2 linked regions of the Schizosaccharomyces pombe genome follow. The protein of the gene in region 2 purifies or fractionates together with the protein of the main gene of each other region. This does not show direct contact. Each region holds a gene or a part of one and is shown on either strand. Other genes may lie near its edges. The genes, in order: tel2 and rvb2.

Evidence for each region.
Region 1: the proteins of rvb2 (region 2) and tel2 purify together in Schizosaccharomyces pombe (affinity purification with western blotting; 2 studies listed by BioGRID, with this or other methods). This does not show direct contact.

The regions. Positions count from the first base shown.
Region 1 is NC_003424.3:4,732,667-4,738,161, reverse strand, and holds tel2 (TTT co-chaperone complex LRR repeat subunit Tel2), read right to left. Parts: upstream 3,342-5,495; 5' UTR 3,301-3,341; coding exon 694-3,300; 3' UTR 564-693; downstream 1-563. Other genes in the region: dli1 (meiotic dynein intermediate light chain Dli1/Dil1), read left to right, coding at 15-557; SPOM_SPAC458.02C (mRNP complex protein), read left to right, coding at 4,347-4,442, 4,563-4,736, 4,834-5,495. UniProt on the Schizosaccharomyces pombe protein: Component of the TORC1 and TORC2 complexes required for the regulation of the cellular respons to changes in available nutrients. Required for normal entry into S phase. Regulates activation of the DNA replication checkpoint.
Region 2 is NC_003423.3:1,522,094-1,526,540, reverse strand, and holds rvb2 (chaperone, AAA family ATPase Rvb2), read right to left. Parts: upstream 2,550-4,447; 5' UTR 2,535-2,549; coding exon 2,486-2,534; intron 2,385-2,485; coding exon 1,036-2,384; 3' UTR 849-1,035; downstream 1-848. Other genes in the region: U5 snRNP complex subunit LIN1, read left to right, coding at 1-848; Lid2 complex histone demethylase H3-K36 subunit Jmj3, read right to left, coding at 2,956-4,447. UniProt on the Schizosaccharomyces pombe protein: DNA helicase which participates in several chromatin remodeling complexes, including the SWR1 and the INO80 complexes.

The sequences.
Region 1 (5,495 bases), on a different chromosome or scaffold from region 2:
TTACTAATTTGTAGTTGAAGCATGCTTTAGGCTTGCATACCTCAGTCGATAATTCACAGGAATTTATTTTACAGTTTTTGCGAACGACACTTTTATCCGTACCAACGTCCTCAATTGTTTCTATCTCAGCGGACCCAACAAGCTGGAATAATCTCAACGTTTTAATGAAGTATAATTTTATGTTTCAAAAGTTTAAACCTCGAGATTTTCATGCTCAAACAATTCAATCAGAAACTATGTTTATACCTCCTTGTTGGGACACTATCTCTAAAATACAGAGTGTCAATCATGAATTTAATATCGCCCTTTTTAAACAAACCGCTAAAAATTTTTACGATACTCTTGACATAAGTTTATTACTTGGTTTATTTGATAAGAGTATATCGATGTTGAACTGTCATTCCTCAAAAATATCGGATGGAGATATACCCTACAAATCGCACCAAGTTTTTTTGCAAGAACTACAGAACAAGTATAGCGAGATTAAAACGTATTCTTCAAACAAATTAAATAAATCCTCCATAAAATCAAGTTTGTGGAAGGACTTAATTCAATAATTGTAATTGGCCTAAAGACATTCATTATTATTACAAAATCATATTATTTAATTAAAATGCATTAATGAGTTTCTGTCAAAATTTCAACCTCATAAATAATATTTTTTTTCTTTTAAATCATGACCATAAAGAACTATTAAAGTCCGGCTAATCCAAATCGCTCTGGAACCAAAGGAGCTGAGTCATCCAGTAATTTTTCCAATGCGAGCGTTCTGAATTCTGAAAGTTTATTTTCAAATAGAATTAAAACAGCTGCTGAGAGTGACTTAACTTTCTCACCTTGATCAGGGCTTTCAAAAAGAAACTTAGTATACGCCTCAAAGAAGAGCAAATGCTTCCCAAACTCATTAGCTAAAGTACGCCCAGAAGATATTTCTAAGATAGCCAAAAAACTAAACAAAAGCCCTTCATTAACTTCTGGAGTGTCTGATCGAAGTCGGCAGACCTCATTTAAAACGTCAACATATTCCCGGAGCATTCTGTTTGCCCCTTCTATCTTTGAGGTAAAAGTTTCAAAAAAGAGAATACCCAATGTCTTAAGATAGTAGACTAAAAACAAAGGCTCAATAAAAGCCGTTTTCCTAGATGCCAGCATATAACCACTGGTGAGGAGCAGGAACAATGATTTATCTACCTTAAGCGATAATCGATTGGCCTTTGGGAGTGGCTTTTTCGACTCGATTTCCGACTGCTTTGAAATATACCGTGTCTGTAAGAATTTCGGTCCCTCCGCATAATCCTTGCATTCACTCATTACCGGAAAAACTAATTTCCTTTCTAATTCATCACTAATCTTTTCAATAGTGGGTGAATAAAACTGATCGTGTAAATTTCCTGGAAGTAACTGGCTGGGAAAAAGACGTTCATTATCATCATCGTTGAATTTGCTAGCAGCTAAAGAAATACAAGATAAGATAAGTATTTTTTGGCGCATTGAATAGTCACTAACAAATAAATTTGTACAAATAACAGGACCACATATATCTAAACAGGTTAACAGAAGTTCCACTATAGCAGTCATTTGCATTTCATCAAAGTTCATTAAGTCAAATCGATTTTGTAAGGAAATTAACGTTTGTAACAATTCATCTGCATGATCTCGTAATTCGGTTCCAAAAGCAGACTTTCGTTTTATTAACTTAGAAGCGTTTTCCAGTGCAACACGTTGTTTCTCAAAACTTTCTGTGTCTTTTAACATTTTGCACAAATCTTGTACGTACACAGGAGAATGCGTCTTGGATCTAGAGACAGTTGGATCGTCGTCCGTGTCCTCACTGTCAATATCAGGAAAATCGTAAGGCTCCAAGTCATCTCCCCTTATTAAGTCATCGTTTTTAGAAATCACTGGCTTCTCCAAGTGAGTTACATTCGTCTCTTCCTTTTCTATCGAAGTCTCTGCGATAACACTTTCGTCATTCAAAATTTCAATAGGCAAAAATTCATCCTTGAGTGAGCTCAACGATTTGAGAACTTTTGCTTTCGTAGTCTTCATTATTGGAACGTCAAAGGCTAACGGGTTACTTAAGCTGACACCCGAATATGTAGAGATTACTTCGGCCATTATCATTCCATGCATTCGAATATCATCATCTAGACTATCTAAACGGCAAGATATTGCATTGGAGAACATTAGGGATTTGGAAAGATTATTCAAATATTTTGCTTCAAGTTTCGGAATAAATAGTAATAAATATATTGTTAAGCTCTCTTGAGCTAGCAGCGTATAGCTCCTCAAAAATTGCGCATTTGACCATATATTAAACAGAGAGTCCACTGTTTTTTCTAGCTCCTTTTTATCAGATTCCTTATAAGATATACTCGAACAAACTACTTCTACCCTTTTAATTATTAAATTTGTAGGGACGCCCCAATAAAATTCAATTAATCGAAGGAAGTGAGTGGATGAAAAGTTCAGCCTTAATAATGTAGCCAATGAACCTGTTATACGATCATCTCTTGCGGTGGAATATGAAAAATTGGTGGGATATTTGGTATTATGTTCAAGAAGAAGTTGATTGAGAAACAACATTTGATCAGAGACCGTCAAATCTGCAAATAATTTTTGTAGCTGAACACAAAATTTTTGTGTTAATGGAATCAATGGGTTAATGAATGCCTTTAAATTGGATGAGTGTAATAAATAATGGAATAGCTTTGAATATATTTCTGGGGTTTTAACAGCAGGTTTAGATATAATGCAAGCCAATTTTGAAGATAAAACGCCAATGTAGTCGGCCATTGATGAAGCCTTCAAACGTTTTGAATCATCGTAAACCTTGAAGGTAAGCATTGCAGCAGACATTGAATTAGTAATTTTAAAGTTTCCCAAGAAAAAAATAAATTCAGTCCACAAAGATTGCTTTTGATGATCAGATAATACAGTAGATTCCCATATCAATTTACAGTTATCGTCAAGGTCTATACATTCAAATGCTTTTTCCAGTAGCTCAAGATAAACTGTAACAAGATGAATGTTTTGCAAATTAGCCTCTTGAACAAAATTATCTAGTCGAACACATAGCAGTTTTAAGCCCAAAAGAGTAGAAAAACATTTTGCAAGGAGAAAATCTATTTCTGAATTAATTTTCCCATTCCAGAATGTGGGCACTATCACACTAATTAACTCATGATATAATCTTAGATTGCAAGGAGAAGGAACACCTATATGCTGCAGTTCTTTAAGGATTTCTTTTAAACGCGGCTTTTGAATAGGTTTGGATAGTTCGCTAGCAAAGGATTTCATATCCTTGGAGTTGAAAAATAACCGAATTATTTTGGGGTGTTGAGAAGACAGTAACCTTCGGTGGATTAATTCACCGGTCAGCAATCAGCAATATGCAGGATTATAGGCTGCTTGGCTAAAACAACACCAAAACTCTTTACAAAGTATATAGTTATTTTTAATTTGTTGTCCATGTAAATTACTTTAAATTCTATTAATTGTTTTTCATTCTATAAAGGTAATTTGAACTCAATTCATATAGTTTTTTAAATTGTGCTCTTAAACTTCCTGAGAATGGTGTATGCAACAATTACATGGGTAGCATCGGGATATTCTGTGAAACCTGTAAAGCTCTTCGATGTATTATTTTCACGGACTTTTCACAGCCTGAAATTGAATAGGAACTTACAATTTACGTGACAGAAAAAGGATATTATGTATAATTTAACTTAAAGACATTTTGTGCTTATATGCAATAGTTGTAACAAAAGAATGGATAGTTATGCTTTCAAATTCGCTTTCTATAAGTGAAGTATCCTGTTGCTTTATAAGACTAGTTGCAATATTTCTATTTGCTTTTAAAAAGCAAGTAACTTTTAGTTTAAAACTGTTTTTGTGTACCTCCCAAATTAAATGTTAATGCTCCGCTAATCGGTAAGCTAATCCGTGAGAAAAAATGCATTAATTTTTCTTGTTTCGTTCAAGTCAACACATTGCAAATAAAGGTCACTAAATTTACAATTCAGGATTTTTAAATTGAAATATTAAACATAATACGTGGACGAGTGCAAAAAACTACCAGTTTATTTAAATAAATAAAAAAAAAATATCATAACATGTATTATCGTAATCTTTTCCTTAGACTGCTCTTCACACGATGTCTGAATAACCGTCAACAAAAAGCTATTTATAAAAATTTCAGAAACAGGTAGTCTCCTTCACAGCACTGCGAACGAAAACTCTAGGGAAGCAAAACAAACGGAGTTTATCTGCCTTGTTATATACTCGTTAAACGACAACTCAACACACACCACTATCCACCACCAACAACAAAATCCTTAATAAAAATGTCATCTCATAAACCCGTTCGTCCTAATGAAGCTCTTCACAAGGAGGCTTTGGAGGAGCTTGATGCTAAGATCAACGAGGCGAAAAAGCGTTTCGTAAGTAGTTTTAAATTCTTGAATATTGAAGGCTAAGCTTTTTTTTTTTTTCATAACTATGAAAGCTTCAAAAAATCACTTGTTTCTTATATAGTTTTCGCATCTTAACTAATCAACTAGAATGAGCATAAGGAGAAGCTTGGTGCCATTCGCGGTGGTGGTTCATTGCAGGAGAAGAATGCAGAACTTCGCGCTGAATTAGACAATATTCGCAATGCTCAAGCAGCTATCCGTTCTTCTAAGCAAACTCTCATCAACAAAGTCAAGGCTCAAGATGAACTTTTGAAAAAGAAGGTATGTTTTGCATTAATATATGTAAGCACTAAAGTTTTGTGTTGGAAAACTTTATGAGCTTGGTAAAGAAACAAAATGTTTACTGACATACTTTTAGGTTAAGGAGTTGACTGCCATGAAAAAAACTGTTCCTTTCAAGTCAGAAGTGGAGCTTGATAAACATGTTAAACAACTTCAAGCCGCCGTTGACTCAGGAACTTTAAAGATTGTTGATGAGAAGAAATACCTGCGTGAAATTTCTCAGTGCAATCGTACTAGAAAGAGCTTCGTTGAGTTGAACGCTCTTCAAACTAGTATTGATACGATTAGAAATGAACTTAACGAGCTTCGTGATCAACTTAATGATTCAGAATCAAAGAAGTTGAGTGACAAGTTCGTAGAAATCCGTTCTGAGCTTGATGAGGTTCGTAAGCAACAAGACGGTTACTATAAAGATCAGCGTAAGCTCATAGCAGAAAGAGATGATGAGAAGACTGCACTCGATGATCTATATAATCAACGAAGAGCTTTACAACGTGAGTACGATACCCAATTGCGCGCATTCCGTACTTATGAACGTGAACAACGTGCCAAAAGACAAGAACAGTTTCGTCTTGAGCGTGAAAATCGTGAGAAGGAGAAGAGAAGAATTGCTGCTCAACGCAAGTTAGAAGAGGCTAGTATTCCTGCCTTTACGGAAGAGATTCTTGCCTGTGAAAACTTATTAAAGGTGTTTCATGTTCCCGTCGAATCTTCTACTACAAATGCCGTTTCAACCGG
Region 2 (4,447 bases):
ATGAAGATATAGAAGGCCAAGAAGATACAAATCAGGCTAACGACCTCGACGCGGATGAAGAAGGCAGTGAGATATCAGTTCCCTCAAGCCCAAAACGAATGTCCTTTAACTTAAAAGAAGATATGGAGGAGGGTGATTTTGACGAAAATGGTAATTTCATACGAAAAAATTATGACCCAGAGTCTCAGTATGATGCATGGCTCAATGGCAGTGTTTCTAATAAAAAAAGCATTGCAGCAGCCAGAGAAGCGGAGCAGAAGCGTAAGGAAATGGAAAACAGAAGAAGGAATCAAGAATTGGAAGAATTTAGTAAACTGCCTTTTTCCACGGTTCCTGAAGCGTTATCGTTTTTTATCGCAAGAATGGAGAGAGATGAAAGTATTTTAGAATTTTTGCAGAGACAAAGTGGTAACAAAAAATCGTATAAGAAAAAGAAAAATAATACCGCAGAGGGCATTTCTCCTGAAAGGAAAAGTGCTGACGCTTTTCGGAAAAAATTAATAGAACTTATAACTGCTGGTCTAACTTTTCTAGAGGATAAAATTGGAAAGGAAGATATATACTCGGAAACTAGAGAATCTCTTCAAAGAATTTATCAAAAACTCACGTCAAATTCATGGTCTTCTCCTGTTAGTTACGACGACTCAAATTCTTCACAGTACAACTTTAAGTGGGAATTTGACGATAAGACGTACGGCCCTTATACCGCAAGCCAAATACAGGCTTGGAGTAATGAAGGTTATTTTACGGATGCCAAGCATGCAGCATTTATACAATTAGCAAATATGGATGAATGGATGTATCCTAACAATATCTGCTTTTGCGATGTAGTTTCTTTAAAGAAATAGTCAAAGTGGATAATAAACTATTTTATTTCATTATATAACAGAACTTATAGCTTGTACCTTTGAATTAACGGAAAACTATAATTCGATAAATAAGTCTAAATTAAACTTGTCTTGCAACCTTTATAAAGACTTGCTATTTAATACTTTCATATTCTTAACTATAACAAAATATTCGTCTTTAGTGCTTTTAATCTTCCTGCATTGCAACTGCATTATCTTGTGCACCTGAAGCCGACCACTCATTTTCGGTTATGTAATTCTTTCCGTATTCCTCTAAATATTCAACACTTCTTTTTTGATCCAAAAATAATTCGTAAACACGTCGGATATCGGACTCCTCAATCGTAGCACTTTTGCGCTTCAAAGCAACCTGATTAGATGAAGATATAAGAAGTAATGCGTAGCGAAGACTAGTCTCCTGACCAATAGTGGAAAGGTAATCTAAAGCTGAAGGCTCCATATCAACATCTTCTTCTTGACAGCGAATCTTCAAGATTTCTTTTACCTCTTCATGGGAATAGGGCAATGTAGAAATAATCAGCATACGATCTAACAAATCAACTGGAATGCCATGAGGGGAACGATAATTTGTACCTCGAATACGAGTAATTCCTCGATTAGAAGCCATAATAACGATAGGAGCTAGGTCATCTTCCAATGCGCGATTGAAAAAAGAAAAGCACTCAATATCTAGCATATGAACTTCATCAACGAAAAGTACACCAGGGACTATTTCGGCTTTTCCTTCTTCTCTCCACTCACTAACTTTGGTGTTAATTTGTTCACGTACTTCTGGTTTAATCTCACCAGTATCACCTGAGAACAAAGCTAAGAATCCTTGTGTACGTGAATTAATAACATCAATGTCATGTAAGGAGACGGTATGGACTACCTCCTTTCGTTTTTGAATTTCTCCTTGAGGACATTGAACAAACCGAGTGTCAGCTCCCATAGCATCATAATCCCTTGCCCTCGAGAATGAACGACCGAGCTTAGTAACTCTTCCCACTGACTTATCAATACTAATAACATCACCAGCTAAAACCTTTTCTTTTGTGAGGGAATCAATCATCTTTGTTCCTAAATCATAAACCGTTTCCATGTCGGTACTGCGAATTGTAAGCTTGCCTTGCTTATTACCGCCAGTAATAGACCGATCAATTTGAACTTCCACAACCTCTCCTTCAATAATTTCTGTCTCCTCCTTAATACGGACACCTATGCTTTTTCGCAAGGCTTGCAACAGGGCTTCTGTTTTCGACATTTCCAAAGAGTACACTTCACTTGCAGAAAGTGTTACAAATGGTGTGTCACTACCTAAAGATTGAGCCATTCCCATTGCAATAGCAGTTTTACCAGTTGAAGGGGGTCCAGCCATCAATATGGCTCTTCCAGCTATCCTGCCTTCTTGTATCATTTTGAGAATTACACCGGCAGCCCTGCGAGCCTTGACTTGCCCTACCATTCCTTGGCTTGACTCCTTCGGCTCTAAATTATCATTGAGACCTATTCCCTTAATATGGGAGTGTGCTCCGACTAAAAACAGTAAAGATTAGTTAACTCACTCAATTTTAAAGCATTTGAGTCCCCCCAATTTCAAAATATGCTAGAGGTCTATTTCTATTTTAAAAACATACTTCTTTCTAATTTGGAGACATCATTATGAGAAGTCACCGAAATCGACATGATTATGTTGTGTTTGGTTTTTTATTCAAGACTGCACAGTCATTCTCACATAGCAATCATTACCTTGCGTTGCGGTTGAGAGCATATGAACCATCGCTAACTTTCCTTATGTAAGAAACTGAGGATAAATAATTAATATTTTTGACTAAAACTGGTTCTTAAATGTATCTTTAATAACTTCTTTACAAAAAACAATCACATTTGTCATACAAGTATTCTGCGTTACTAAAAAAGGTAGCGCGTATTTTATCATGGTTAATGGCTACACTAATCAATGTCGAAGCTGAAAATTAATTTAGTCACCGATATGATTGAAACATTGTAAATTTTTAATATTATTCAAAAAACTTTTAAAACGAACGACTAAATCATAAATACAATAATGCAGCAAAAATGCATTTACATGCAAATTCTTATATCCTTATTCTAAGGAAGGAAAGAGAGAAAAATCATCGACATTTTCGACTTCATCACTCACATAAAGCTCATACGTATCTAGTGAAACTGAGAAATCCACTGCGTTTCGACGAGTAAGGTTTGCGCCAGCAATAGAAAATTCAGATTCTGAAGGCACAACTGATTGTGAACGATCAATCACTGTTAAACGATCGTCAATGTCAGAAGTCTCAAAAATGCTGGAGCGAGTTTCAAGAACGTCTTCTTCCAAATCTGCTACCGAGCTCCGTTCAACATCTTCAAATCCATTTTTACTTACAAGAGGATCAGATAAGTCAACAACAGATTCGTTAGTATTGCTGATCGACTCTAAATTCACGTTGACGTCTTCTACCGGAGTTGGTGCCACGTCAACAGATGAAGTCGGTTCAGAAGATTCTTCAGCAGCAATAGTCTTTATCGAGGTTGGTTCAACTGAAATTGGTGGAGTGAATTCTATGGGTTTTCCTGGTAACAACTTGGGTAAAACGAAGCGATCAAGTGAAGGTAATTCTGAATATTCATTCCAGTTAATAGGAACACCGTCATCATAAACGATATTAGGAGCTTTAAGGGCTGGATTATAATATGAACTCTCCCGCCGACCAGCAGCAGAAGAAGATGTTAATATACATTCATATGGTACCTCAACTACATCCGATTTTTCACATTCGAGGAGCAACATATGCTCACTAACCCTGTCTTCGAGAATCCTCCCCAAAAACAATTCTCCACGAGCGAACTGTGCAGGAACAGGAAGCCCTAAAATAGGAGGCGGATGCAAAGGATGTGATGATGGACGAGTATATAAAGGATCAAAATGAGAAAACTCTATGTTATCACCGTTTTCTTCTTTCTGTTTTTTTATATACTCTTCACGTGCCTTAGAATTCCAAATCAGTGACAAAGGAAGCGATCGGTTTTTGCGCTCTTCACCCACGTGAAGGGAAGATAATTCCTTTTCGGTAGTTGTAGTAGAATTAAAGTGTTCAGTAGATGCACTCTCATGATTAGACATTAAAGGAGATGGAGGATTAATAGAGTTAGGTGAGTCAAAATCTCGTTGAGAAAATGAATTATTATCAACACTTGAATGAATCGGATGAAAGTTACCACTATCATGGATGTTGGATTCGGGTAAATCATGCAAGTAAAACTCATCCAGGAACTTTTGAGAACAAGCACGTTGAGGCTTATGCGAATGTGGCCATAAAGATTTAGAGGAATAAAGGGATTCTGAAACCATAAGTCTTCGTAAATTAGAAAATTCATAGTTGGAAGCAGATCTTGGTGAACGAAAGACAAAACGTCGTAAAACAGCGTCTCCTAGACAAAATGCACTATGATGTGTGCCTGGAAAGGTTATAAGCAGTTCATCCTGTTTAAGGACTGTTGAATAAGTAACAATACCATTTTGTACTAGAGTTGAAGGGGGAAACAAAATATTCTGGTGAAGCAAAAAATCTGAACAACGCCAA